Linked DNA regions of Alligator mississippiensis. Each later gene encodes a partner of the first gene's protein in a complex. Links are inferred from orthologs where the notes say so. Each region holds a gene or a part of one and is shown in the gene's direction. Other genes may lie near its edges.

The links.
Region 2: DPM2 (region 1) and PIGY share a complex: the UniProt entries of both Homo sapiens proteins name them as parts of the glycosylphosphatidylinositol-N-acetylglucosaminyltransferase (GPI-GnT) complex. The link is inferred for Alligator mississippiensis from reciprocal best matches to the Homo sapiens genes DPM2 and PIGY.
Region 3: DPM2 (region 1) and PIGC share a complex: the UniProt entries of both Homo sapiens proteins name them as parts of the glycosylphosphatidylinositol-N-acetylglucosaminyltransferase (GPI-GnT) complex. The link is inferred for Alligator mississippiensis from reciprocal best matches to the Homo sapiens genes DPM2 and PIGC.
Region 4: DPM2 (region 1) and PIGH share a complex: the UniProt entries of both Homo sapiens proteins name them as parts of the glycosylphosphatidylinositol-N-acetylglucosaminyltransferase (GPI-GnT) complex. The link is inferred for Alligator mississippiensis from reciprocal best matches to the Homo sapiens genes DPM2 and PIGH.

Annotation. Positions count from the first base shown.
Region 1 is NC_081835.1:57,214,425-57,221,949, forward strand, and holds the start of DPM2 (dolichol phosphate-mannose biosynthesis regulatory protein), read left to right. Parts: upstream 1-4,509; 5' UTR 4,510-4,608; coding exon 4,609-4,611; intron 4,612-4,715; coding exon 4,716-4,805; intron 4,806-6,425; coding exon 6,426-6,528; intron 6,529-6,793; coding exon 6,794-6,852; 3' UTR 6,853-7,525. UniProt on the Homo sapiens protein: Regulates the biosynthesis of dolichol phosphate-mannose. Regulatory subunit of the dolichol-phosphate mannose (DPM) synthase complex; essential for the ER localization and stable expression of DPM1.
Region 2 is NC_081825.1:151,545,346-151,551,456, reverse strand, and holds PIGY (phosphatidylinositol N-acetylglucosaminyltransferase subunit Y), read left to right. Parts: upstream 1-4,921; 5' UTR 4,922-4,980; coding exon 4,981-5,196; 3' UTR 5,197-5,607; downstream 5,608-6,111. Other genes in the region: PYURF (protein preY, mitochondrial), read left to right, coding at 4,516-4,670, 4,771-4,921. UniProt on the Homo sapiens protein: Part of the glycosylphosphatidylinositol-N-acetylglucosaminyltransferase (GPI-GnT) complex that catalyzes the transfer of N-acetylglucosamine from UDP-N-acetylglucosamine to phosphatidylinositol and participates in the first step of GPI biosynthesis.
Region 3 is NC_081828.1:44,547,273-44,554,907, forward strand, and holds the start of PIGC (phosphatidylinositol N-acetylglucosaminyltransferase subunit C), read left to right. Parts: upstream 1-4,631; 5' UTR 4,632-4,748; intron 4,749-7,635. UniProt on the Homo sapiens protein: Part of the glycosylphosphatidylinositol-N-acetylglucosaminyltransferase (GPI-GnT) complex that catalyzes the transfer of N-acetylglucosamine from UDP-N-acetylglucosamine to phosphatidylinositol and participates in the first step of GPI biosynthesis.
Region 4 is NC_081825.1:230,815,458-230,823,110, forward strand, and holds the start of PIGH (phosphatidylinositol N-acetylglucosaminyltransferase subunit H), read left to right. Parts: upstream 1-4,641; 5' UTR 4,642-4,724; coding exon 4,725-4,883; intron 4,884-7,653. Other genes in the region: ARG2 (arginase-2, mitochondrial), read right to left, coding at 359-431, 523-639. UniProt on the Homo sapiens protein: Part of the glycosylphosphatidylinositol-N-acetylglucosaminyltransferase (GPI-GnT) complex that catalyzes the transfer of N-acetylglucosamine from UDP-N-acetylglucosamine to phosphatidylinositol and participates in the first step of GPI biosynthesis.

The DNA of each region.
Region 1 (7,525 bases):
GTTAGTAGGAAATTTGCATGCTACTAATAAAGTTACCTAATGGCCCTAGGGGTTAATACTGATCAGCTAAATGTAACTGTATTCTTCAGGGCTGCTGCTAAGGGCTGATGATGTTAGCTGAACTGCCTCCAGCTGTTGCTTAGGTTTGTTCAGCAGCTTAAATTCAAGCTGCAGCCCAAGCCTGGACACTTGTCAAGGTTTAACCAAGTCCCTGCCATTGATGTGGCCAGTTGCAGACACATCTGCAGGAATTCAAAGCATAGGTGTCCCCACAAAGGGTGCTGTGAGGCTCCTGCCTGCTTTCTCAGCTTTTTCTACATCAACGTTTTGTTCAAGCATTTCAAGGCTGCATTTGAGGAGCCAGCTTGGGCAAGTCTTGGGCCTGTCTGCAGTGATGTGAAGGCTCAGGTAGCCTGGGGCAGGGATGAAGGCCCAACTCCCAGAGTCTGCTCCTGTCTGCTGTGTAGGAGGTGGCCGGTCTTGGGTGACAGTGCTTTTGAAGCAGGGCTCTATCTTCTTGCATGGTTCTTGCAATCATCAAAACCCGCTAAATAAGTCTCTGCATCTGAGCTCCTCTGGAGTTCATGCTTTCCATGCGGTTTCCTTCCAGTGAGCTGACCTTAACCCTTTCTCTAAAACTTGTGGCACTTTGGTGGGAAACAACAACTTCTTAGGAAGTGGGAGGCTTGTTTTCTCACTCATGTGCCCTTGAGGGAGGGATGAGCAAAACCACAGGCAGTCCCATGAGAATTCAGGCCTTGGTCCTGCCTCTTTGAGGGTTAGAAAATAAGTGGAGAGCAGATTGGTGCTACCAAACTAGGGAGCATCTCTTTCCACAGGTCCCATTGTTGCTGCTGCTCGCAGAAAGACAAATGTTTAGTACTGACTGATGGGAAGCTGAAACACTTCTCCCCCACACCCTGAACTCTGGAGCCTTTGGCCGTAACTATGTACATCAGATCTCTGTTGCTGGCACTGGGGTGGCACCTAGAAACCCTAGCCAGGACCAGGGGCAAAAGCTAAACAGAAAGATGGTTCCTACTCCGAAGAGCTTCTAAGCATGATATGGGCCACAGGTGGGGCAGGGGTAGATGGGGTGCAGGGCTGGCTGCTGGCTTCTTATCCTATGCTGTCCCCTTGGCTTACATATGGGGAGGGGATGGAATAGAGACATTCACACCTGACCTGTGGCCACTCGCACACGGTGCCGTGTTTTGTCAGGACTCTTGCACTCTGGTGTTTTCCACCATCTGCTGTGGTTTTATTCCCCTGCCTGGTACCCTGAGCAATTCCTTACCCCTGGGTCTAATGCCACCACCTGGAGCATCCCAGCTGGAGCATCCCCTGGATGTCGGTGCTCTGTCTGCAGCACCAGCCCCATAAGCAATTCCAGAGGTGTAAGTGTAAAGTATGGAGCTGGCGAAATCTGCCCCAGCCACCTGTGAACCACAGCAAGGGAAACTAGGCGTTTTGGTCTAACAGCTGAGCTGCCCCAGCCTTGCTGAAGGGGGAACCTCTTTTCAGACTCTGCTGCCTGCTGGGTGAGCTGGAATCTGGCTGGGTTTTGCCATCCAGCCAGTAATGGTGTTGCAGGACCTGCATTGGAGCCGCTGCTCAGGGGTGATGGGGATCCTGGCAACCCTGTGCATGGGGAGGAGGGCATAGAAGCCTGTGGCCAGAGATGCTTTGGTGAAAAGGAAAGCAAAGTACTGCCCAACTCCTTGTGCAGTGAGCACCAGCCAGGCCAGGCCGTGTGCACAGCCAGGCCAGGACTCTGGGGAGAAGCGATGCGTGATCTCAGAACTTAAGGTGAGTGTCCAGGGGCAATGAAGATGGCTTGCTCAAAGTGCCCCATTTCCCAGGTCCTGAGTGCTTGCCCTTGCACGTCTCATGTGCTGCTTTTTCTGTAGCTTTCTTGTGTGTAACTGAATCTAAGTGGACTACGGTCCAGGCCTCCCAGTCTGCAGCTGGGTCTCTTGGCTCACTCCAACCATTTGCAATATGGAAAATCCCCATACAGACATGCCTTGCCCAAGACTGGCCAGCTCCCTGGGTCATCTCATCATTTCCCACCCAGATGCCAGCAGAAAGTGAATCACAGACTGCTCTGGATCTAAGCAGATCTTATGAGCGAAGGGAAAGTGCTTCTATTGTTCCCCAGAGAATGTGGCTTCTGCTGTACCTTCGTGGAGGTTGGGGCTAAAGTTCCGGCTTAGAGGACAGAAGGTAGAGGGCTACAGCTGCACTGAGCAGGTCTGCTATGACCTGGGCAGGACCCATGTCCTTGGCCTGGCAGCTGCTGGGGCAGGCACAGGGGCTCTGAATAAAAATCACCAGTTTGTGTGGGCTGGCATGGTTGGAGATGCAAGAGGCAAAATGCAAGGATCTGCAGTTGAAATGAGCCAGAGTCTTTGAGGGGCTGCTGGGCTGGGCTGGAGACAGACCAGGGGGAGTGTTAGCACCACCTAGGGAGAGTGGCTGCTGCCCCCACACAAGAACCTGTCCCAGTCCCACCCCAGCACGTCCCAGAGGAATCCCGGAGCAGCTTCCAATGCCTTGGAGGCCCTAAAAGCCTCCCTCATAGCCCTGAATTGGTCTCTGCCCCTGCATCCCTACCCCCAAATGTGGTGATCCTTTGCTTTATGCTCCTTGGCCCCCACAGGGGTTGGGTGACCCTGATGTGCCTTTGAACTGTGTACAGCAGTCTGTCTATGTGTGTGCAGAACCTGCCTCTGCACTGGTAAGCACAGACCCAAAAGCTAAAAAGAGCCAAGACTGAAGAACTGGGAGATCCAAGGGGAAGGGCAGGAGCCCCAAGACGTGACCACCCCCATTGTCCTGCAGGAAAACGCAAGTATAGCCCTGCATGGCTCCTAGGGGCAGAGCTCCAAACCGGAGCATTTCCCTGGCTCTGCAGACCCCAAGGTGAACCAGCCCCTTGAGACGCTCTGTCTTCCACCTTGGCCATGCAGGGGCATCCACTGCCAGGATAATTGCCACATCCTACCCTGATGGACAGGCTTATTCCAGATTTAAAGTCTTCAGCTGGGGAATTCCAGTGTTTTATCTCATGCAGTGTGATCAGGGTGGCAAGCTTCCTGACGTAGACACTCTGCCCCCAGCACAGCATCTCCTTACCGTAATAAGTAACAGTGAGAACGTGTGTAGCATTGCTGTAATTGAGTTTGTTGTTCTCGTCAGCCATGGCCAACATAGTGGGTGGCTTTACCGTGGGAGCTAGGGGCCCTGCAAGAGGAAACGGAGGGCTGGGCAGGGTGGAGCCGGATTCTTTCCAGAACTGCTCGGCTCCTGCCTGCGTCACAAATTCTTTCTCAAATTTCCTGCATGCTGCCCTACCCCCGCTCCCCCCAGCCACGTTGGAGGATTTTACGTGTATGTTGTGAACAGATCGAGGGAACATTTTCAAAAGCACCTAAGTGATTAAGGATGCCAAGCCCCACTGATTTTCACCTCTGCAAGTCGCTTCTGCAAATAGGTCTGCACTGGGGTTCCTGAGAAACCTCTCCAGCGGGACGCAGCCCCGCTCCTGCCTGTTGGCTGTAACAAACCTCTGGCTTTGTTGACTGTCTCTGAATGGGTGTTTTCTGCTCCCTTCACTGTGGCTGAGCTCAGTTTGGCTCCCGAGCAGCTGGGCTTCCTCCTTGCTTGACTATTCAACACATGGCCATCACTGGATCATGCCAGTGAAGCTGATGGGCTCTGAACAAGGCCAAGACCTCCTGCCCCCTGTGCACCAGGACCTTCCTTGGAGGCTCCTTGGCCGTCCCCTTCTCCACAAGGCAGGGGCAGAGGCTCACCTGGATACCCCCGCTCGCCCCACTGAACAAGCAGCAGCCCAGGGGCAGCACGTGGGCTTAGCCCATCCTGCTCGGGGAAACGGGAGACGAGAGCGGGGAGGCGCATGGCTGGGGGCTGTGGCTCTGCTGGGCCTGACCTGGTGGGAGGAGGGCAGAGGGGAACAAGGAGCGCGGGGCTGGGTTGTAGGGTCCCCTTTGCGCCCACGGAGCCGCCCCAGGGCTGAACCCCACCCTCTGCGGGTGCACGGGTTGGGCTAGCGGAGCTCCAGCCTGGCCGGCTCACGAGGCTCCGTCCTGCGAAGGGCTGGACACGGGCATAGGCAAATTACAGAAAGGGGAATATTTTTTCCTTTGTGCAATTATTATTCTCATGCTCTCTGGCAAATTGGGGCCCGATACTAAAAGGTTTTCCAGGCAGGGCCACCCAGGGTGCAGGTGCCGAGCTGGCTGCACTCCCTGCATCGCTGCCACCTGCCAGCGGCCCTCGCTTGCAGCAGGACAGCTCCCTACCCCCCATGGCAGCCAAGGGGTTAAGCCTGGGGACTACATCTCCCATCAGGCCCCGCGCCAGGCGGGACTACGGCTCCCATGAAGCTTTGCGAAAGAGGGGACGGGCGCCTCCCGTCATGCCCCGGGGAAAGGAAAGGCTCGCGGATGATGTCTCCCGTGGTGCAATGCGGCTGGGGTCAGCTCCCGTCGTGCTCCGGGGCCGAAATCCCGGCCGTGGATTGGGCAGCGGCTCCCGGAAGTGGGCGGGGCGGTGGTAGGGGGGTCGGCGCAGCGCGTGGCCATGGTGAGGGCGGCCGGGCCGGGCCGGGCCGGGCCGGGCCAGGCCAGGGAGGGGGGTCGGGGCTCGGGGCGGGCCCGCTCTGACCGCCTCTACTCTCCCGCCCACAGGCCACGGCGACGGACCGGCTGGTGGGCTTCGGGCTGGTGGCCTTCAGCCTCGCGCTCTTCACCTACTACACGATCTGGATCGTGGCGCTGGTACGGGCCCGGCGGGAGGGGCTGCCCCGGGCCTTGCCTGTCCCCCCCCCCCCCCCCCGCGCGTGGGGGGCGCGGGGCACGAGCTGGCAGCGCTGGAGGGGCCGAGGGGTCACCGCCTCACCCCGCGTTGGGCTTCCTAGTCAGGGGGAAGCAAGAGCTGCCACAGGCGCCCGCCTTGGCCGTCGCTGGCAGCTCCAAATAGCCCCCGGCCGGCTCGGGGGCTTCAGATAGGGGCCGCGCTCCCATCGCCGCGCGCTTCTGGGGTCCCCCGTTTCCTGGGTCGAGTGAGCAGCGACTGAGCCGATCGCAGTCCTGGAAAGCCTCACAGACGCGTAGGGAATTGGGCGAGGAGCATCGTGGGGTGGAAAACTGTCCAGCGCTTTATTTTTCCGTGGGAAATTTTCCATTTCTAAAAATTCATCGTTTCCTAAAATTCGTTAGTAACAACGAAGGGATGCCAATGCCCTGTTAGGCAAGCTCGGCAGTGTCAAAGTTGTCATTCGCGTGTTTCGGGTGATTATCCCTAGGAAGTGTGAGAGAGAGTACATATGTTTTATTGATGTGTAAATACACTCACATAATCCTCCAATCCAGAAATCAAGTTATGAATTCACCTGATTGGCTGTGCAGGTCAAATCTAAACCAAGTCATGGCATCTCATGCACAGTTTTTGGGTGTGCTAAAATTAGTGTGTCAACATTTTTCAGTGCCTCCACTGTCTTTTCTTAAATTTAAACAATGTAAGGGAAGTACGTGCTGTTGTATATTGCCTTTACATTTTTACAAGTATGCCAATAAAAGTAATTTTTTTTCCACATCAAAGCTCTGCTTTGAATTTGTTTGAATGTAACATTTAAATCACATTAAGTGTGTTGTAGTTAATTTTTTTTTAATTAAATATTCCAGTTAAAATACTTGTGGCTGTCGAGACATAAAATTAACATGGGGTGTTTTTTTAGTTTTGCTTACTGATATACATCAAATAAACGTGTTAAATCAGATCACGCTCTATTTAGGGCATTGGAAAAATTTCCAGAAAATTTTCCAATTCAAAATTTTGTGGAAAACCCACATCTCTGGTGAGGAAGCGTCTCTTTGAGCCTGCAAGGCCAGTCTGGAGACTTGCTTCAGTTTGCTTGGCATGTGGATCCCTGACAGCTCCTGGCCGTGCTGTGAATGGTGCTCACTTCTGACATCCTCTCAGCTCGTTGTTCTGCGGCTGCAAACTCAGTATGGTTGGGTTTTTTTCATTGTCCCTATGCCTTGCTGTCAGCCCACGTGCTGCTCTGTAACGCTCAGTCTGTTCTAAGTTCTGTGAAAGATGATCTTTGCCTTGTGTCTAAAACAAGGCAAATATTGTCTCTGTTTTGCCCAGTGAAGCATGGGAGACGCTCACCAGGTTGAGCAGGTTGTTCAGTGCCAGGCAGCTAGTCAGAAATCAAGACAAGCTTTGGAGGGGTGAGTTCGTGGCCCCTTGGCTCTATTCTCTATCCATCAGCATCATTGTTAACTGTCAGTCTTAAGGCTTGTACTTCTGTCCCTACAAGCAGGAATGTCTGAGTGCTGGCAAGTAGCTGCATATTGCCCCAGCTTGCTGATGCCCCTCTTTGTTTCTTGCAGCCCTTCATTGATAGCAATCACGGGATTCACAAATACTTCTTGCCCAGGGAATATTCTGTTACCATTCCTGTGGTTGCAGGGCTCCTGCTGCTGCTGTTCATAGGTGAGTAACATTTCTCTTCTGTTTTGGGATCAGAAATCTGTTATAGAAGCTGGTTGGTCACTGTTGGCCCAGCTACTTGGAAGCAATTGCCACGTGACCTCTCTTACAGCCCTGCCTACTCCAGCTGTGAGCTCCTGCACAGTGGAGCTGCCCTGGTCTCATCCTGTGAAGTGGTTCTGTTCCGCATAGCAATGGTGTTTAGAAAGCTGTAGTACTTATAGGGTTTTTGGCCATTTTCTTCACATTTTTTCTTTCTCTCTCTCAGGGACTTTCATAGTGATTGTGATGTGGAAGAACAAGAAACCTGCCAAGAAATTGAACTGAAGACAGTGGGCATGGGAATGGGCGCAGGTTCCTACCTGCAGTGTCTTGATGGGGCCAAGACTTTGACCTGCAGTAACAGGTGGCCATTTCCTCCCGCAACCAAAGACTCTTTGTGTTATAGCCTGGATGCTGGGCCTCACCATGCTCTTGGCACTTCCTACCTTGCAGAGCACATCCAGCCATTTGATCAAATGAAAGAGAAACTGGCTGAATATCATACACATCCAGACAGGGACCAGAGCCTCGGCTTTAGTGAAACTACCTCAGCTCGGGCTGACCAGGACAGACTGACAGCTCGGGCTGACCAGGACAGCTGACAGCTCGGGACTCTGCAGTCGGGGAGCTCTGTGCAGCCTCCACTTGCCCTGTGTTAAGGGGAGAAGGCAGCACTAGTGAGCAGAACAAATAGCTGGCTGCCTGGCTCCATTGGATCTCTGCCTCTGGCAACACCTCTTGCTCTGTTGCTTTATTTTTTGTCCTTCAAGTGTTTATTTTAGAGTTTACAAATCAGATCTATTATGTGAAAAACCAAGAGATTGTGGACCAAGGCTGGTAGCTAGGGACAGATTCTCTTCTTACTTGCCTGTAGTGGGTGCAGCAAACCTTGTTTTGTGCTAATGGTAGTCATAGCACTAGGAGGGTTGCACGGAGCTCACCCAGGCTCTCTGGCTGC
Region 2 (6,111 bases), on another chromosome or scaffold:
CTCGGAAGAGAGATCCTACCAAGGGACTGTGTTTGCTCACCAGTAGACCTACACAGATCTGTAATGAGCAGTGTTAGATTAATTGTTTTGGAAAACGAGTGACTGATCCCAAAGTAAAGGGGACATGAACTGACTCTAAAGAGAGACTGAGTTGTTTCTGGGGTCTTTGAGCCCAGTCTAAGGCCATCCCCTGGATGTGGGTGCATATCGGGTTAAGACTATGGTCATCAGAGGACTATGCATTAGAGAGTCGGAGAGCATAATACCAAGCCAAAGAGAAGCTTTGAGTTTCACCTGGAGTGGCTAGGATGGGGTAAAGGGGAGGTTTGGAGCCCTACAGAAGAAGACAGAATTCAAGACCTGAAGGATCATCTCAGGGTATTGCCTCCTATTAACAGTACCAACAAAGCTGTGGCAGGCGAGAAAAGTAAGATCAGTCTCCTGGCAGACCAGGTGATCCGAGATAAAGGTCCATCCTGTCACCGCCGGTGGGTAAATGAAATCTTGGCAGTGGCAGTAAGCCCTACAATATCTACAGTTGTCACACTGTCCTACCCCAGGGCACAGGAGGCAATTCCACCAACAGAGCCAGAGGACCCCAACTCCTGCCTGAGTCTCCATCTCTCAGCACATGGGTTCCCAGGCTTCTGTCTGGCTGACCTCAATTTAGATTCAGCCATATCTACAACAGTACATTTACCAGGCTCCAGAGCCACATCCTCAGGCAGGCTGCACTGCTCCAGGTGGCCACATTTGCTGAGTATTTCAGGCTAACTAATTAGTACTGTTAAGCGATGTTGCCAATTCACTTGCTATTCCCTAACTAGCCTGCCTGTGGCACTGAACAGATGCAGCTATAGTGTTTCCAGTCTAGGGAACAAGCTGTTCAGAGCAGCACAGCATGCTTGAGGGGCACTTTGGAGCACAGGAAGTCACTGCTTAGACTGAACCTGGTGGAGTACTGATACCTGCATTAATTAACTTGGTAATGTTTTACGCCCACGTGCAAATGTGTACACAAGGAACAAGCCTGCACTGTGGCTTGCTGTGCAAATTCCTGCTTAAAGGATAAGCAGGATTCTGATTTTGTTTCCAAAGCTGTTGGATCTTTCTGGAGGAGAAGAACAGGTTGGAGACACTGGCCATTCCAGAAAACTAAAGAAACATTACTGTAAATGCCTACAAAGTTAACCTTAAATATTACTTTATAAATGGTGTGATGCCATCTATTGGAAACTACAGGTACTAGCACATTTTAATTTGATGTACTAAATACTCAGCATTTTAAATTGGTCTGTTATATATTATACTGTGCCATGACCATGTGAGTTGTATTTTTTTTACTCTACTGCACAAAACTTTGTACTCCTAGAATGTGAGTTGCTGAATACAGTTAGACCTCCTTCTTGTTGTTATGGGAATAAGAATAACTCACTTGTTCTTTTGGTAGTGTCAGAGCGATATTGTAGTCATGAAGGTACAGAAATGATAAAACTATAAAAATGTATAAGCTGGCTGGACACTAAGAACCAAGGACTAAACATTGATATCAGACTTATGGCACATAATATTTTATCATTAAAGATGAATTAGGAAATCTTACAGAAGACTGATAGTGTGTGTAGCAGTCACATAAGCCAAAAAGTCTAAAAGAATGCAAGGATATTTCCTCACAGACGTCTTTAATACATTCAGGTAGCATCTCTCCCTATACTATGCATACCTTTCCCTATTCAGTCCATCTTGATGTGACTAATGGTCCTGGATTTTTTGAGACAGTCCTAAGTTTCAGGACTATGCTCTGGCATCCCCTGTGATTCCCTGAACTGGGACTTTCATCTCAAATATGAAAAAAATTGTCCTGGACTGAGGCCAGGCAGCATCCTAATCAAAACCAGCATTTGCAAACTGCACAATTGCACATACTCCCAAAACACATTCACTGCTGCCAGTTTCACAGATGTTAACAGCCACCTGTGCTGCTTCAGGGACCCTGGCCCAGATTTCACTCCTTCAAAGTTAGTTGCTTTAATTTCTCTCAGTCATGATCTATGTGCATCACTTCTAGAGTGTTTTTTATTCTACCCCCCCCTCCTCCTATATTTCCCAACTCCAGCTGGACACTGACCAAGAAACATTCAAGCAATTGCTGGATCAGGGGGCATAGGTTGACCCTGTTCCAGGAGTCCTGCAAGTATTTATGACACAGGGTTGGCCAGGAGGGAGTTAGGAACTTACGATGAATATCAAAACTGCAGGAATAGTCTCCAGCCCCTCAGAAGCCTGCCATGCCCTTGAGCATGCATCACACAAGCAGGCCTGCTTGGGAACTTTTCAGCTGCGGTTTTCCCTGGAGACATTCAGATCCTGGCCCCAGCCACGCTGCAGGAATAGCATAGAATTATAGAGAAGTCAGGCTGGATGGCGCTTTCCAACTCCCTAGTCCAGTGGTTTTCAACTTTTTTTTGTTTGAGGACCCCTAAAACAATTTGAATGAAAATGCAGACCCCTTTGGACATTTCAAATGATGGTGAGGACCCCTTTAAATTGTAAGTGTGGCTATTCACATACTTTTGATTGATCAGTCATCTTTCACGGACCCATCAGACATAGTCTGTGGACCACAGGTTGAAAACCACTGCCTAATCTAACCATCTAGTCCAATCCCCTGCCTGAGACAAGAACCATTCTATCCCCTGCCCTATCCAAACCATTCTATACAAATCCATAACCTAAACTCTTTGTAAAACTACCATCAACCCTGACACAACACAAGACATAACACAATAACCTGCCGTGGATAAAAAAGGGGGATCATGGCAGCCAATGTCCTGCTTCTATAAAAGGTTGTTAATATACACTCAAGAGATTCCAGATAGAGCCCCCCACCCCCCAGGGGTACAAAGGAAGGCAACCCCCCCACAGTCAGTACCAGTCTGAGCATGGGGTAAAATTCCGTCCTGCCCCCAACTAAGGTGATCAGTCTGAGGGGCATGACTCTTTAGCCAGGAACCTCCAGCTTTAAGTTCCTGCAGGAGTACTGGCACACCTCAAAGTCCCCAGTCTTGGCTGCAGCCAGTAACCAATGCCTCTGAGAAAGACTTAAAAAAACCCGGCCCTCACATGTAGCAGAAAGGGAGTGGGGGAGGTCACAGGGAATTCCCTCCTACCCCATGTGGCAACCAGCAAAGCCCAGAAGCATGAACATAGTAGAACATACAATAGAACATAGTATAGACAGTCACTGAGAAGGAGATGGGCTCCACCTAGTCAAGGTTCATTTATGCTCAACCTTTCTGCCCCATGGTCCAGATGGGCTGGGCTTGGTTTGTCCATGGGCTGGATCTGGATGGTGGACCCGATCCAGTGGGAGAAGTAGGTCCTGGCCACATGGAAGGGAACAAGGGGGGCATCATTGCCATGATCCAGCCATGCAGGATGAGGGAGCATAACCCAGCCCTGATCTGGCCACATGGGTCTCCAGAACTTGGCATGGGAGAGGGGTTGCAATGTTAATTGCCACTGCGCCCTCACCACCAACCTCCCTGACCCTTGTGGAGCTGTATGGGCTGGATGCCATGACTCCATGGGCCACATTCAGCCGACTGGCTAGGAGCCGAGCACCCCAATCTAGTGCAATTCCCAACCAAGGGGCCACGAGCTCCTTTTGAGGGTGGTGTGTGGGACCTTGCCATGCCAGCACTAAGAGGCATTCAAGCACCATTCATGAGATAAACCCAGGGATGTCAAATAGGTATCTGCCACTGTGGCCTCCCGAGCTCTTGACTACAGGAAAAAACCCAACCCTCCTCTTATTTTTCTGTAGGCATAAGAAGAGAGCTGCGATTTTCCAAGGTGATCCAAAAAAAGACTGAGCCCCACTGATCGAACCCTGCTGCCTCCAGCACAGTGCCCCAGGGGCTGGGAGTGGGTGCTTCTTAATGTGAGGAATGCTGACATCAGAAAATACCAGTATGTGGGTAGCTTCCCAACTAACACGGGAGCATGACCTTTTGCATATGCAAAATCCATCCCGTCTGGACGTGAAAGCAGCTGCTTGTGCCTCTGCTCCCCGCCGCGAACGCTTCAACTCCGACATTCCTGACTTCACACCTTTATTCACTGGGAATCAAAGGGAAAACATGACCGAAGCCGCCGGACTCAAAAGTCCAGGCCAGCACCGTGCAGACTCAGGGCAGGGCCTTCCTCCGTAAACACCTGTAGGTCTCGTTTCAAAGCCGCTCTGAAACAGAACTGCAGAGCTGGGCCCTTGGCGGGAGAGAGCCGGGCCCTGTCAGCCTGCAGCCCGGAACACCTCAGGGAGAGACACAGAGAGAACACCCCCCCCCCCGCCAAGCCCAGGTACCAGATGAAGTGAACGGGCGCGGGTGGTGGGGGTGTACACACGGCCCCTCCCCCCGGAACCCAAGCGCGGGGCGGTGCGCGGGCGGAGCGGGTTCCCAGCGCGCAGGAAGTGGCGCGAGCAGGCGGGCGGAAGTCGCTGCGCGTGGGACGATGCTGGGCCGGGCTGCGGCGCTGCGCAGGGGGTTGCAGGTGGCGGCGGGCGGGACGCGTGGGCCGGACAGCGGCCGGGGCTCTGCGCAGCCCGCCAGGCTGGACCCCGCGCTGCTGGGGCTGCTCGTGTGCCCGCTGTCCAAGCGCCCGCTCCGGTACGCACTTGTGTGAACCCACGCACACACATATGCACACAGGTGTGCAGGGACTCTCCTCCTTGAATCCGCAGCCCTGACCTGTTCGTTTTTCACGCAGGTATGAAGAATCCACCAACGAGCTGATCAACGAGGAGCTGGGCATTGCCTACCCGGTGGTGGACGGCATCCCTAACATGATACCGCAGGTGGCGAGGAAGATAGAGGCCGAGCCCCCTCACCCCACTGGCGAGGAGTCAAAGCAAAGCTAGATAGTGCTGTCCCAGAGAGCAAAGCTAGAGACTGAGAGGCTCATGTGTGAGCAGTAGTCATGTTCCTGTCACTGCCTACACTGACAGTGCTTGTCCCGCTGCTGTCCTTGGTTGGCTTGTTTTATTCGGCCACCATGGATGAAAACTTCCCACAGGGCTGCACCAGCACCAGCAGCTTATGTTTCTACAGTCTGCTGCTTCCTGTTACGATCCCCGTGTACGTGTTCTTCCACCTGTGGACCTGGATGGGCATTAAACTTTTTAGACACAACTAAGGCAGGCAGACAGCCCGAGGGCACTGCCCAGTGAGCTCATCAATCACAGGGCCTCTGTGCTAGTTGTGTAGCTTATCTTAGCTGTACACTAATATTATATTCCATGTAACTGGGATAGTCTCTTCCTCCCTTGCTCTCTCTCAATAATGATGACCTTTATCACCCTCTTCCTGGCACTTCACAATGATCTACAGAGGACTTTGTGTATGACTGCTTAATTTCTGCCAGGAAAGATAATTAAGTACATTTGTCCTTGCCCCTCAAAATCCAGAGGTGCACTGTAGTAGTGTGAAAGCATATTACAGTGGGTGTTTGTCTTTGCCCTGAATGACTCCATCTACTGACTGAGATACAGTTTAATTACTTACTCAGGTTGTTAATAATAAACAGTAATGTGGGCTGCTCTTTAAAGATGGCAGTGTCTGTCTTTAGGTGCGTTGCTAGGTTGAACAGATTTATTCATGAAATGCTTCTGGCACTGTGCTATGAAAATGCAGTGTAATCAAAACACTGTGCAACAGCAAACTTGTCTGTGCAAAGATTTTTTTAAATCCATGTGAGCTTTAGACTTGTTAGGATCACTGCAGCCATGTTTTGAGGGTAGTCATCCATGCACATCCAACACAGCACACCTTTTTAGAAAAAAAACCAAGGTGGGGTATCCATGTCACTCTAATATGATTTCCTTCTAGATCAGCAGGTCTGGCACAATTATTCAGGCAAGAAGTGCCATGAAATAGTAGTTTGGCAGCTGCTTTAATTTATTCCAACTGGCAGTGGCCTGTAACAGCTGACAATAAGGCAATAGGCTCAAAAATGCCTTCTAACACTCCCCCTTGCTAGCTTTACATTGACTGAGGAGATGCAGTACTGAGAACAAGTCAGGATTGGGACGCTGACCCACTGAAGTACCCA
Region 3 (7,635 bases), on another chromosome or scaffold:
TTAGACTAACTTAATGTACCTTACAGGCACACATCTACATGTGCACCTCCTTAATGTTAATTAAAAATGGCGAAATTAGACTAATCACACCTAAATTTGATACCTGCAAATGCAGATATCAAATTTAAGTGCAATTAGTTAAAGGACATTAACACACATGTAAACACTTGTCAACCATTACCACCAAAAGAAGCTCTGTGAGATTAAAAAGTTCCCAGGTTTAGGGAACTCCATGAGATTAAAAAGTTCCATCAATGATCCCACTGGCTAGAGCAGTAAGGGCCAACATTTTTGGCAGAGAAATTAGCCCTGCACCCCAAGTGTCACTACAATCTCCTTCCCCTGCCCAGTCTGCTGCTCTGCTTTCAGCTCCCTGCCCGATCTGCCATGTGTCACATACAGAGACTGTCCATGCCACCTGTGCTGCAGGCTGGCCATCCCTGAGCTAGAAAATGTGTACATCTGGCTGGCAAAGCTCAGCTAGGGGTCCAAGACCTCAGGTTGCAAATTCCAAACTTTCAGGAAGTGATAGTGATGTTATTATGTGATATTGCTCCTTGGCTGAATACTGGAGAAAATGCAGTTCTTTCTCTCCCATCTAAGCTCAATGGCATCTGTGTCTCTTGCCCTAAGCCCCCATGTGAAGTCTGTGGTGATACCCTTGAGGTGCCTCATTTAATGTTCTCAAGACTGGCTTGGGAGCTACTTGGTGTCTCTGTTTTTTGGGGGGTTTTTTGCTTCTTTATGATGGATAAGAAAATCTGGAATTTCTTTTCTTTCCAGGAGAAGATCAACACACTTATTTTATTTTAATCATTACCAATTCAGATTCAGAAGACTCTGTGGATGACTGGAGACTTCTCAGGACTAAACCGTCACAAGAAACAACTGCAATGTGAGCAAATAGGGATTGTGGAGAGGGACGAAATATTTTAAGCTGTTTCAAAATCTTTGGGGTCTGGCTTCTCTCTTTTATCGGCATGATCTGAATGCCTGACAAACCACTGACAGGAAACACCTCTTGGGAAAGATTCAACAGTTTTGCTCCTTCTACCATACTCAGAACACTTCTACATAGTGCTGTGGGCCTCCATCAAACAAAAAAGAAAGAAAGCAGAACTTGACATCTTTAATGTCTCCGAGGCAAAAGAACCAAGCAGGGGGAAAAAATCTACAACTCATTCTCAGAAAACTCCCCAGGTACTTTCTTCTTCATAAATTACAAAAAGAAGCATGGGTATATATATTTTTTCCCTGGTTAGCATTTGCCTTTAATGCTTCCTTGAAAATGCAGCAACTTTCCTTCTTTTCTCACCAAAAATCAAACTGGAGCATCCCAAGACAGGCAGTTACTGAACACCAGTGACCTGGCTTTCAGATCTGCTGATGAGCTGCTATAACGATCACCTGGAAAACATTCTATGGGCAAACTCTAGCCTCAGGCCTAAATATGTAGTGGTGTTTGAAATCAGGATTAAGTTCCCAAATTTCATAGCTGGATGTCTAATATCAAACTTCCACAGTGCATCCCAAATACCCAAGTCAGTGGCTGAGGTTTCTGAGCCTGATGGAAAAGCTCTTTATACTTGGAAAGTACTGGCAAATGCTAGAGACAACAGGCACCAAATGGGAGCATGTCCTAAGATTAAGTGTCCTCTGCTGGAGTGAGTAAATGTATTTGCTGAATTTTGGTCTAGGGTCTGACCCAGCTAGGAAACCAAGAGCATTCACTTCATCAGAGGCCTGAATCATGAAGATGGCAGCCAAAACCAAGTTTTGCAGTATCTGAGAGCATTGGAGATAGAGAAGCAATGGGAGCTAATGCCCGCCCTGCACTCAAATCTCTCCTTTCTCTGCAGTTGTTTTCTCTTTTTTTTCTTTCTGTGCCCAAACCTGCAGCTATAGCAGAAATGGAGATGAACTTTCTTAAAGCTCAGTGGGTCACAGTCCTGGAAGATGTGCAGCTGTTGCTGCTCGGAGGAAAAATGGCTCAGCTCCTTAACATAACCCTTCAGAGTTGCTGCTATAGCTGCCCATTGGCCTTGCCTGGGAAAGAGAGCTCCTCTGCTTGTTCCCATGATGCCTCAGACATATGAATTACCTGCCTGATTGTTCCCTGTTAGTATGCAGTCAAACACCAGGCTTGTTTAGTGGGGATAAAGGCTGCTACTGTTTGAGCCCTTTCATGCTGTTTTCCCATCACCCAGGGTCCCTTCGTTTTGTACTGAATGTCGTAGAATCACAGAAATAGAACAGTAGGAAATTAGGGTTGGAAGGGACCTCAGGTCATCTAGTCCAACCCCCTGCTCAAAGCTGGACCCCTTAAGAGAGAAAAAGCCCACGTGCCATTTGGGACCAGAACTTTGTGTCATCTTGCAAGGTCCCTTCCAGCCCCTTACAATCTATGAATCTATAATCTGCCCAGAACAAGCATTCAACTGCAGAAACTGATGTTTCCTTTGGTGTTACTAAAAGACAATCAGTCTGTCTCAAGCTCTGGAATTATGAGCTCCATGTCATAAGGCAAGGCTGTCCAACATCTAGGCAGCCAAGGGCCACACGCCTGTGGGCTGCACCAGAGGGGGCCACATTCTTCACTGGTGCTCGCTTCTGCATGGATGCCTCTGCTGCCTCAGACGCCCAGGTGCCCTAGCCTCACTCCCAGTTCCCCTGCTGCAGGCTCCCCCACTGCACCACCCCATGAGGGTGCACAAGGCCATGGGCTTCTCCAGCATGGCACCCTGTGCCACACTGCACCATATGGCTCCCTAGGGTGACAGCAGGAAGTAGAAGCCAGAGGAGGAAGAGGAACCTGGAGCAATGGAGGGGAGAGACGGTTGGGTGGGAGCCTGGGACCACCAGCTGGACAGCCCTGCTGCAAGGGAACTGGGGTCATAGAATCGTAAGACTGGAATAGACCACAAGAGGTTGTCTAATCCAACTGCTTACTCAAAGTAGGATCAGTTGATCTAAGGCAACATAAACAAATGCTGGTGTAACTTGCACGTAACAACTTCTAGTGATGGGGACCCCACAACCTCTGGAGGGGCTGTAGCCCAACCTCCAGTGCTAAACCACCCACTGAGTTTGGAAGGTCCTTCCTGGTAACTAGCCTAATGCTGTAATGTAAGTGAGTCTGTTACTGTTGCTGTCTACAGACATCACCTCATAAAGAAGAGTCTTTTACGTGGACAGTGGCTGAGACCTAGTGGCCTCCTGAGTGTACTACAGCTGGGGACCCCAGCTCAAGTGGGGGGTTACTCACAGATGGAGATTCATAGATTTTTCAGGCCAGAAGAGGCCATTGTCACCATCCTGTCTGATCTCCTGCGTAGCACTCTTTCCCCAGCAATTCCTGTCCTTCTCCGTGACAATCCCCAGCCTCTTGTGTTTACTTTTCCTATATCTCCCAGACAATACTTATTACAGGAGCTTTGTCCCTTGCTTCAGAGGATGATAAAAGTGGTGATCTTCCCTACTGCGGTGCTGTGAGCATGGGCAGCGTACTTGACCCTTTAGAAGCTGAACAGCTTGCGTGTGGCAACAACGACCCTATGGAGACAAGCCCCCTGAGTGACCCATCTCCCAGCTCAGCCTCACCAAGAACAGCACTTGCTGAGTGCAGCCCTCCTCATCCAGGAGGTGGGAGGTCAAAGAGACCACACACCTACTGCCTGCCCAACAGGAAGCACTCTCTGAGCAGATTTTCTCCTGTCCAGGCAGGGATGATCAAGACAGGATTATCCCCATCTAATGCATTTCATCTAAGTATTTGGCTAAACTGCTCTTAAAATCTTCCAAGAATGGGGATTCCACAACCTCCTAAGTAACCTCTCCAAAAGGTCATCGATGTTTGGGCTTTGGAGATGGAAGAGACCCACTTGGCTACAGTTCTCTTCAGTGTTACTACCTGGGTTGTTTAGCTTGTTCACTAAGAAGTATGGCTCAACAGGCCATCCCGTGTCTCTCCCAACAGTGCTAGACTGCCCTCTACAGTACATGAGTGTTATAAAGTATACTAAAGCTAACTCATCTGGCCTGGTTTTCATCAGCTGGACTGAGCTGTAAATAGGCACTTGGTCTCTCAGGCTGGGGAGACAAACGCAGCTAGACATGACACTGGGCACATTACTGCCTCATGTACCACTGGCTTCAGGCACCCATGAGCTTTAAGCCTGCTCATCCCATGAACTGCTTAGTTTGGGCAGACTTAACCTTTGCCAGCTGGAACATATCACACTAGGGCTGTGGACAAACCCCAGTAACAATTCCTCCTTGGCAAGAGGCCATGTCAGGAAACCCAAAGCATACAGCAGGGGTTGTGCTGTTACCTTTTGCTTCTTCCAAGGTTTACAGCGTTGCCTGCAGAGAGAGGCCATCGCACAGCTCATCCTTCTCTGGTGAGCGAGCAATAGCGGGTGTAACAGAGAGCCTGGGGCTCCCTGTTACTTCAAGGTAAAGGCAGCCCAGCCAGGGAACTCTGCAAGCTGGTTGCCAGGGCAAAAGGCTACTGGGCTATCAGCAAGCACCTGCGGGGGTCAGCGGACTGGATGCAGGCAGGGCCTGAGGAGCTTATAAGCCCAAGGCTGAGGCTGGCTGCAGGGAGTCTCTCTCTGGCTGCCACAGGGGAAGGAGCCCCTGCCCAGGAGAGACACCCAGGGGTGCTGGCCTGACCATTTGCTGCCTACAGGACCAGGGAGGCTCGGGGAACTTGAGAGGTACCCTGGCAGGGAGGCAGGCTGTGGCAGGTAAAGGTTTTCCCTCTTAAAGGGACAGAGGGCTGCTACTTTGTTATTATTTTGTTATAGCTTATGTTATGTTGTTGTTACCCTGGTGGTTTGGGAGGAGGCTGGAAGCGGCATGGAGGACTCATTAGTGTCCAGGGGGCACTTGACTGTCTTGTGCTCTGCCAGTGGCAGGCTCAAGGCTCAAGCAGTTATTGAGCCCAGGGCAGGCAGGGAGAGGAGACACAGCCAGACGGCGGCCGGGGGCCCAGCAGGCAGAAGCCAGGGGCCCAGTGACTGGAAGGGACAGATGTAAGCTAGTGCCTTAAACCAGGTCTGTCACAGTGGGCCCAGGCTAAAAGGCCTATCTAGATTAAAGGGGTCCCCACACAGGGGGGCTGAAACCCCACACAGGGAACAATGTTTCTGTAATACCTATGAGACATGGGGTGTGGTCAAGGGGAGGATTTTGAGCCATGCAATTAGCCTTTAAGGCAGGGATGGGGAACCTCTGGGCCGCCGGTTGGCTGGGGACTCCATTTCCCAGCGCCCTGCCCACATGGCTTGTGCCAGCCTCCATGGAGACCTCAGCTGCGCCAGCAGCGTGCACAGCAGAGCAGCACAGGGGGCTGCTCCAGAGCTGCTGGGAACATGGGACAGGAAGCTGGGGGGTGCTAAAACAGCCTTCCTGTCCATCCTGCAATGCTGAGCTGAGGGGGACGTGGCCAGGCCCTGGCAGGACACTTTGATTAGGAAGGGGTTTCCCCCCCCACCTCTGACCAGCCCAGCAGGGAATTGATAACACAGTGTTTATCACCCCTAACTCAGTGTTTATCAGCCTGTTAAGAAAACAACAGAGGGACATTACCAGCTACCTGTTGATTCTGCCTTTGTCCTGTCTGCCACAGCATGGACCGTAGCCAGCATGTGGCGTGCTAGCTAATGCTGAGAGGAGTCTGTGTAAGGCAGAGGGGACGGGGGGGGGGGGAGCAGGGAGAAGCTAGGCAGATGCTCTCTGCCAAGCTCCAGCCAGGGAGCAGAGGGGAGGGGCCCACTCTGCTGTGGAGCAGAGAGCTCCACCCAGCTCAGAGAGCATGCCAGGATGCTGGGGGAGTCTGGTTTAACTTAAACTAGCAAGGGGTCTGGGACAGACATTGAATAAACTGGTTTGACTCAAATCAGTTTAGTCTGATACTACATTCAACCAGGTTTATCTCAAACCAGTTTCAGCCATTTTCAAACTGGTTTATGTGCACTGAACGTCTGTTCTGTTACAGGTTTAAACCAGTTTCTGATCACTTAAACTGGTTTATGTGTAATGTCTGTCCCTAGCCTATGAGAAACTGAAGTCTCACCAGAAGTGGGCACAGGCTGGGCTTGCCCACTTACAGCCAGACTCTGTTAGACGTGTGGAACCCCACTCTCCCAATGGGAGTTGGGTCAATATATCAGAGGCAGCATTTTGCCCCTACTTAGCATTTCTCTGTGCAAGGAATTATTTATGTCTGCAGTTCACAGGTAGCACTGGGCCTTCTCCAGTTCATTTTCAAGCTCAAGTAAAGTACTAGTGGGATCTGTGTCTGAAGAGAGAACCAAAGTCTGCCTCTCCATCTTTCACCCTGACAGCCAAGGCCAGCCACAGACATGAGACCAGAATGTCTTTGACCTAGAAGCACAGCTTTGTTAGCAGGGGCACAGTATTCACTTTATCCCAGGGTGACTTACTGTAGATACAGTAAGTGCTGTGTGTCCTCTCTATAGTTAATTTTCCCCAAGGTACCCATTACTTCATGCAGATCAGCTCTCTTGCCACCTACTAGCTAGGTGCTGTAATAGCACATATTGCCAGCCTGGTCATGGGTCTTCTTTTTAATGGAGTAAATGTACTATAGGGTAAGATGTAAAGTAGATGACTTTATAGTGTCAACAGTTCACACCCTAAGGAAGCAGTGAAAAGGCAAAAGCATCTCAGTGCCTGGGAACCATAACTTTCGGTTACTTCCCTGAGCAAGCAGAGTCTGCCAAGGGTCACTTCCAGCACATAACTATTCCTTGAAAGACAATAACAGGTCCTTAGGGGGGACAGTAAAAATGCTTTGTCCTATATCAAGAACCCATTGCCAGGACTCTGTCTACACAACATCTGCAAAGGAGATTGACGCTTACATCCAACAGAAATCCTACCTTCACAGAGTTTGGCTCTGTGACCAGCCACCCTCCTTGCTGAGCTGGGAAGCAGTGCCTGGAGCGTGGCCAGTAGTTATAACAGGAAGCTGGGAAGAAAAAAGAATGTGTCATCCCCAGTTCTTGCAGCCCTGCCTAATAGCTCTCACTATGCACTCACAGCTGTGCAGACTGAAACCTTGCCTCACTTCACTGACTGAAAGGTAGTGATTGGATTTTACTCCATGATGGTACAAGTCATTTTCATGGGAGTCCACCTCTCCCCACCCCTAGGTGGGAGGCTCCAGGGTCTATCCAGTTAACTCTCAGCCTAGACAGCATTACCAACTGTGCCCTAAATATAGCTCTGGGAATCCTACCACCTCGAACCAGAAAGACAGATAGATCCATTCTCTAACCCTACGCCTAGCTCAAGCTGTCCCCATTAGTCCCCACCTGAGCAGCCTGACCTCGGGTACTAATTTGGAGAGGCCCAAAATATGATTGCTAAGCTGAGATGAGAGATCCCTATCTGCCGTATGCTCCACTGGAGCAAGAGACACCTTCCCGGCCAGTCTCCTGACTTCAATGCTGTGAGCCCACCCACCCCCAACCCCAGGGCTGGGGGTCCCATGGTCTATCCCGCTAACTCTGAGCCTGGACTGCATTACCTACTGGTGTCCTAAACATAGCTCTGGGATGGTTACAAACAGGGCTCAGTATAATTAGGTTGGACCATATTTTAATA
Region 4 (7,653 bases), on another chromosome or scaffold:
AACTCAGCGTTTTACTTTAAACCACACTGTGTGCCCTTGCACCAAGCCCAGTGCATGCCCTGAATAGGCATGGTGCAACTGAACACCCAGCTTTGTGGTAGAGGGGGCGGGACGCATCTCCCCTGTGGGCCTGCACACATGGGCGGTCAGAAGTCGGGGGCTGTCCAGGCAGGCACAAGGGCCCCCGGGGACAGGGAGGCCCCCAAAGCTACAACCGAGGGCAGGAATGCGGCCCGTCCCGGCTCTGGGGCACCAGCGCGCCGCCCCTGCCTTTGTGCTAGGCGGGCGGGGCCGGAGCCCGGGCACGGGGCTGGCTCCTGGCCGGCGGCGGGGGGGCCGGGGGCGCGCGCGGGCTTACCCAGGCCGAGGAGCCGCTGCGTGAGCCCCGCGCCGCGGATGGCGCCGGGGCCGTGCTCCACGCCGCGCCGCTTCTGCAACACAAAGACATCGGGGAGCCGTGAGCGCGGGGCCGCACGTGGCTGCGCCCCGTTCCCACCGCCCGGCCCGGCCCCGCCGGCTCACCTGGCCCCGGGACAAGGGGGCGCCGACCAGCGCCACTGAGTGCCCGGGCTTCGGCACCTGCAGCGCCGCGTCCGCCTGCTTGCGGAGGAGCCGCGCGAAGCCGCTGCGCAGGGACATGCCGGAGGAGGACGCAACGGGAGCGATACTGACGCTGATGCTGATGCCGCTACTACTGCAGCCGCGCTGCGCCTTTTAATCCGCGCCGCTTCCCCGCTCCCGGCCGGCGCCGGCAGCCGCGCCCCGCCCCGCCCCGCCCCGCCCAATGGCAGCGCCGCCGCCCGGGGTGTGTCCGCCCCCACCCCGCACGGGCCCGACCCCAACCGAGTCGCCTTCCCTGCAGCGGGGGCTGCGCCGCCCCCCCGGGACACACGTGCGCACACGTACCCATACGCACATTTATCCACATGCACACATCCTCCCCCCTTTGCCCGCGCCCCCGGACAGCAGGGCTGCCCCCCCCAATCCTCCTCCTCCGGCACAGCGCGGGGACAATGGGAAGGCCTCCCTTTCTGGCGGGCCCAGCACAGCCGCGGCCCCCAGCGCTTCACCCGAGGGCTTCCCCCTCTCTCCGGTCAGCACCCACCTGAGACCGACGCCCCCCGGGATGGCTTGCGCTTGCCTTTCTTCTGTGGAAAGGATATGGCTCAAGGCATTGTGCTCTCTGTTTGAAGAGCTGAATGGCTGGTTGGTCGCGGTCACCCCCACCCGCCTCTTCCTCACTTCAGACAGCTGAGGTCTTAAGAGTGCCTTTGAGCAAGGTGGTTTACCCCGCTTTTCCGGGTGAGCAGGAGCTGGGCAGGCCTGCCCATTCACAGGATAGTTTACTCCAAACTAATCTTGCCTTGCAGACAAGCTTTGGTGCAGGAAGAATTCATTCGTTCATTTTGGCTAAGATCAAAGGGGGGGGGGGCATGTGAACCCCAAGGCCTCAATGCCAGGGGATTGCAGGTACGATGCCCCTGGTGAAGCCCCAGGCAGATGGGTCTGGGAAGGAGGATACTTGCAGGGTGGTAGAGCCACACACACTTAACAAGTGAACTCTGCTTGGTCAAATTTTGGAACTTCGCCCAATTGAATTTGGAACTGATTTGGCCTTGAATAAGATAAAAAAATAAATCCCCCCTTCATTATCTTTTACACATTATGTTTTACACACACACACACACACACACACACACACTCTCTCTGTCTCTCTCTCTCATACTTACCCTGACTTTCTAATACCTTCCCTTCCCAGTTGATTTCCCATCTGTCCGCCTCCTCACAAGCGCACTGCTACATTTTCTCAGACTCTTCACTGTTCAAATCCAGTAGCTTTATGGAAAAAGACTCACTACAGATACAAATTATAGAGACCCATATGGGGTTTAGGCAAATCAGGTGTTACCCAGAAATAGGGTGTTGCCTCTCTTCCTTCCCATTAAAACTATATCTAAACATAAAGAAGTATTTTTTTGTCTTTTCACTATCATCATCCAACATTTCCCCATTCCTCTCTTTTCCCTTCCTTCTTACTGTGTTCTTGTTTGTTTTCATCTCTCCCCCTACCACCCTCCTAGTATCCCCTATTTATGTCTTTTCCTCCCCCATTACTGGTTCCCCTCTATCCCTAGGACATCATTTTTTCTTCATCTCTTGCAACTCCCACCTTACTCTCCCCTTTCAAAATTTGCTACTTTGGTTCCCTTTTATTTCTCTCTCTACTTGAATTTCTTCCCCAAAGCTGCCCCTTTTTCCTTTTACTCACTTTAATTTTCTCTACTTGTTTCTTTCCATTTCTCTCCCCATGATTATTTTCTTTCCTCAGTTTATCCTGCATGCCCTCCCCTCTCTTCTAAATTTCTGTTCCATCTTCTCAGCAGTTACCTGTATTATCCAGTCCAAGCCATAGTCTTCAGCTAGTGCCACCCTTCACCTGCTGCCATGCCCAGAGCTGTCTTGGCACTGATACTTCAGTGCCCCCCCCCCCCCCCCCCCGCACCCTTCTGTTCCACTCCCATTGTTGTTGCATCAGCAGACATTCCTAGACAAAGGTTCTTCAGGCTTTGGGACACAATCAGGCTGATCACAGTGATAAGTATTCCTGCTGGGGGCACCATGTTCTGTAATGAAAAATCAGCAGAGACATGTTCTAACCCAACGGAAAGGGTGATGTAAGGCAGGGGTCTACACAAAGTATATTACAGTATTGGGGCCAGTTTTCCTTTGCATAGGGACCCCTGGACAAACACAACAGCAGCAATAGTGGGATTCTTTGTAGGATATTTTACTCTCACATTGACAGCAAAATCAAGTGGATCTGTACAGGAGTGAGGAGGCTGTTCCGACACACTGTAATTCCAGCACATCAGAGCATGGCAAGTACCAAGCTCCAACAGCCTCCAGCGTCTTGGGTATCAGCATCCCTGTGCTTGAAAATGGTGGTGGGCTTTAGTTCAAGTTCCCCTGCTGCCATTTTTAACTGCAGAGACGCTGATACACGAGACGCAGCAGTGCTTTCATTAGAATGGCTTTTTAGTCTAGGACACTGAGGGTCAACTTTTTTGGCAGGCATGCCACAAATTAAACTCTGAGTGCCACTCCAATCCCCTTCCCCTGCCCAATCTTCTTTTTGTACTCTGCTCTGTGCTCCCTGCCTAATATGCTGCCCTCTCTGACACTGTGCTGCCTGTTCCCTCAGCAGTCTGCTGCATACCGCTCACAGAGGCTCCCTGTGCCACCTGTACTGCAGGTTGGCCACCCCGATGTAGAAAAAGATTTTCCCAGAATCTTACGCTGGAGTGAATGTGTTTGCTTTAGAATTGACTTCCTAGAGCAGCGGTTCTCAACCTTTTTAGAGTTGTGGCACCCTGCAGAAAATGCCAAGTCAGTTTTGGTTTTTTGACTACAGAAAAACAAGAGAGCAATTTTTCAGCTGCAAAAAAAATTAGGAAGACCACAACAGGACAGAAAGTTTTTAATGCTATGGATTCCTATAGGAAATCTCTGGGTTTATCCTGTGAATCATGTTTGCACACAGTGATGTTGGCACTGCATGGATCCCCCACAGCACCTTTGAAAGGATTTCACAAAATCAGAGAAGTCAGGCTGGAAGGGACCTCCAGAGGTCATCTAGACCAGGGGGTCCCAGGGGGTATGCAAAACATCTCTGGGGGGTATGCAGGAGAAATTGTGTAATGGCAGATTTAATGTTCATTATATCAATCAAGACTTGTGGTAGAACCAACTAGATTTTGTTAAAAAAAATTCTTTAATTGCAAGCTTTCAGGCACAAACACCATGCATCAGGCATGGGAGAAAAGATTGCAAAAGGTCTCCTTTTGCGTGGACAGCACCTGTGCACAAGCAGAAGATGGTGTGTGGCAGCACTCTGTCCCCACCCACCCGCATGTACCTCCTAGGGGTACACGTACCCCTGGTTGACAACCCCTGCCCTAATTTCCTACAGGTAAAGCAGGGGAACCAGGCAACCAAATGTCCTGGTTCTAGGAAATGTCAATATATGCTGGAGTTCCCTGTACAGGGCTGCCCCCCCCACCCACAGAGGACAGGCAAATCCTGACTCCCCCTCCCAATCCTACTAATCTGATCACAGGCTAAAATTCCTTCCTAACCCCAAATATAGCAACACGTCTGACTCTGAGCAAGGAGGCAAGACCCTCCAGGCAGGGGACCTCCAGCTTTGGTCCCAGGAGGAGCACTGGCACAGCTGTCCTGCAGCCCTCAGGAGAGGGTATTTACCCCTTCTCTCCTAGCCTGCGCTTGGCAAAATCAAGTGCAAGGTTCCAGAGGTACCATTTGGGTTGGTCTAATAAAAGATATAAAATTCACTCAAGGAACCTTGTCAGCCTAGGTTCCAGAGACTCACGTGAGCCTTGCACGGAACCCTAAGAGCTTTGCTGCCTCGACCACGTGTAGAGCCCCCCCCCAGCACTAAGTATTTTCAACTGGGGTCAATGCGAATGGATCCCGCGCCCAGAGGCTGCAGCTACCCTGCCACACGAGCTCCACGTGGTGCCTCTGTCCTCCGAACCCACGTGCGTCACTCTGGGGGCGGGGCTCCGCCGCCGCAACGTCCCAAGGCGGGGGGCGGAGTCAAGGCCGCGCGGAATTCCGCAGGCTCCCGGAAGTGCCTTACCATAGAGCTGCGGGGCGGGCGCAGCTAGAGTGGCGGGCCGTTCTGGGCGGTGGGAGGCCTCGGCATGGAGGAGCGGGGGGACCGGACCGCGCTGCAGTGCCGCCAGTACAGCGCCTCCTGCCGCGAGTTCTCGGTGCGGTGCCAGCCCGTGCAGCTCCGCTCGCTCAGCGCCGCCACCTGCTCCGTGTGGCTGGCGGCGTACTGGCTCTTCGTGCTCACCCAGGTACGGCGACCCTTGGGCGTGGCAGTATCCCAGCTTCCCAAGCACGTGAGGCCAACAGGGCGGCATGCTACGGGGGCCTGAGCACCTCGCAGGTCAGACCTCAGGTGTGTTGTGGGGGAGGGGAGGGGACAGGTAACCAGGACCTGAGCAAAGCTCTGATGCAAGAAGCTCCTTCAAAGTGAACGTGGCTTTCTTCTTGTGCTGAGAAAATCGTGGGTCCCTAAGAAAACTAGGCCACTGGCTTCCAATCTGTGGTATGGATACCACCAGTGGCACACGGGCAACCTGTTGGTGGTACGCGTTAACAGATTTATTGTCATTACTTTATATGACAAAAATGTGCTGGTAGTACTTAAAGTTGTATCGTTTTAAATTGGCAGCGTGCAATTTGTCAGTGTTTGGGAACTGCTGCTGCAGGCCCCTTCAATCCGGGAGGCTGCTCGTGACCCTAACAGCTGAATGCGGGGGGCAAATAGAAAGAAAACGGGGAAGGGAGGGAGGTCACGGGTTAATAAGGGATCTAGAAGGGGACGTGGAGCACAGCATGATGGCTAGTGCCTGCTGCCCCCTGAATGAGTCGAGGGAGCGTGTGGATGCAGACTGGTGAAACCCTGCCCAGAGATGGGAGCGGAGGGGTGATAAGAAGACAGCCCCATGCCTGTCTGGGTTCCTCTACCCCGGCCTGGTCTGGTAGCTGGTCAGATTGGCCAGAACTGGAGGAGATTGATTGAGAGGTCCCAGGGCTTGGTGGTGCCACGGCTGAGCAGTGCGTAACAGAAAAGGTGAGGGGAGAAATGCAGCCAGAACCTCAGCAGGAGGTTTTGGAGGAGGCAGAATAGGGCCTGGTGCACTCAAGGTAGGTATATGCCAGGGTCCCCCTCTGCTGAGAGAAGGGGCAGGTGTCGTGGGTGTCCTTGAAATGTGCCAGGTGCACCCTTGGCAACATCTCTGTGGAAGAGCTGCTAACTGAGGCTGTCAGAAGTGGGCCTGTTTGATGTGCCGAAAGATCACTGGCATAAGCCCACCACGAATACTGTATGTCTGCCTTAATAAGGGAGGCCACTGGGGATACATCAGTTAAATACAGGGGGACAAATTAAGAGAAAACAGGAAAGGAAGTGAGGTCATAGGTTAGTAACAAGGGGACACAAAGTAGAGCACACTGGCCAGTATCTGCTGCCCCCTGAATGAGTCAAGGAAGCCTGTAGACATTGACCAGTGAAATTCTGCCTGCAAATGTGAGTGGAGAGAGAGGGAGACAGTGCCACACTTGCCCAGGTTCCTCCCCACTAGCCAGAGGGTCTTTCCTGGTCTGGGAGATGGCCATGCAAAGTGAATAAGGAGTCACTGGCCTTACTGGAGAGCTGAGAGACTGTCACCCTTTGGGCAAGATGGGCTGTTACCGTGAGCCTGGTCAGGCCCATGAAAACAAGATGCACAGCTCTCTGCTGACTGTGAGACTGCACCAGGTACCAGTCATGTTCTGGATGGCACGTGCAACAGCCCAACCTGCCTTGAGATTTTCTTTTGTAGTTTATAAGCTCCTTCAGGGCAGAGAACATGTATCTTCACTGAGGGGTGTTTAGACATTCTTGTGAGTCCAGAAAACACACAGTGGAGGAGAACAGGGTATGTTTGAAGTCCTACAGGAACAATTTCTTGGGGCAGATGAGTAATGGCTAAGATTCATCCTTAGATATTTATAAGAAAGAATGGCATTGCACTAGCAGCATCTTTTACCTAATTAGGGTGCACAGGTGAGTCAACAGCACCTGGTAGTCAAAGATTTCAAAGGCTTGTTAACAGATCTAAAGGAACTAGCATAACTGTCTGGTCTTTGCCCATTGCTAGGAGGTGATGAACAACCAGTGAGATAAATGTAATCTCTGTACTGTATAGCCAAGCCAAAACCTGACTGAGGCGGCCTAGGGACTATATCTGATGCTAGATGTGCCTCAAAACAACTTTCTCTACAATCTTTCTGAGAAAGGGAAAGATAAGAGTGAAAATTAGCAAGATTGCTCTTGTCAAAAATGGTTTACTGAAGAAGGACTAACAACTGCTTGTTGGAGAAAAAATGGGAACTCTTTTTGAAAAAGAATCCAGTCTCAGCTAGCAGTCACCCCCAGCATGTTTCAGCTTGATTTTTTTTTTACAACCCTCAATAATTTTGTTCTTCCACCTTTCTCCTAGTGCAATGCATGATCTGTATCTGCCCACAAGCCTTTTCCCAACAGAGCAGCTTGAGGAATAATGTTGGGCTCATTCATCTTGGGCAGTGTCATAAAGTGAGGCAGGACCAACATGGTTTTCACTTCTTAGTGAAATAATCAACATTTCTTAACTCAAACCTAGCAGTGTTCTCTATAAAAAAACAAAACAAACAAACAACCCCCCCCCCAAAAAAAACTGGTTCCAGGAGATAGGGTGATGGTCTGCAGATAAACCATGGGAGAAAGGAAGCATCATAACCCAAATAGTGCAGTGGCATTTGAGGCAGAAAGAGATTAAGGTTGAGCAACATCACCCATACTGGTTTTAGCAGAGTTATAATCCAGTTGAGCTCTGGGTTACCAATCCTGTGCTTTAGCCAAAACCCATACAAAACTCTGCTCTGTGTCTCTGTTTTCCCCATCTGTAACAGAGGGTTAATGATACTTGCATCACATTACTGTCTTATTGCATACTGATAGGAAAGCTTCATCAAAATCTATTTATATGATGTGCTGTCTTGGATGTTATAACCCAATGTTTTAGGAAGAGTTTATGT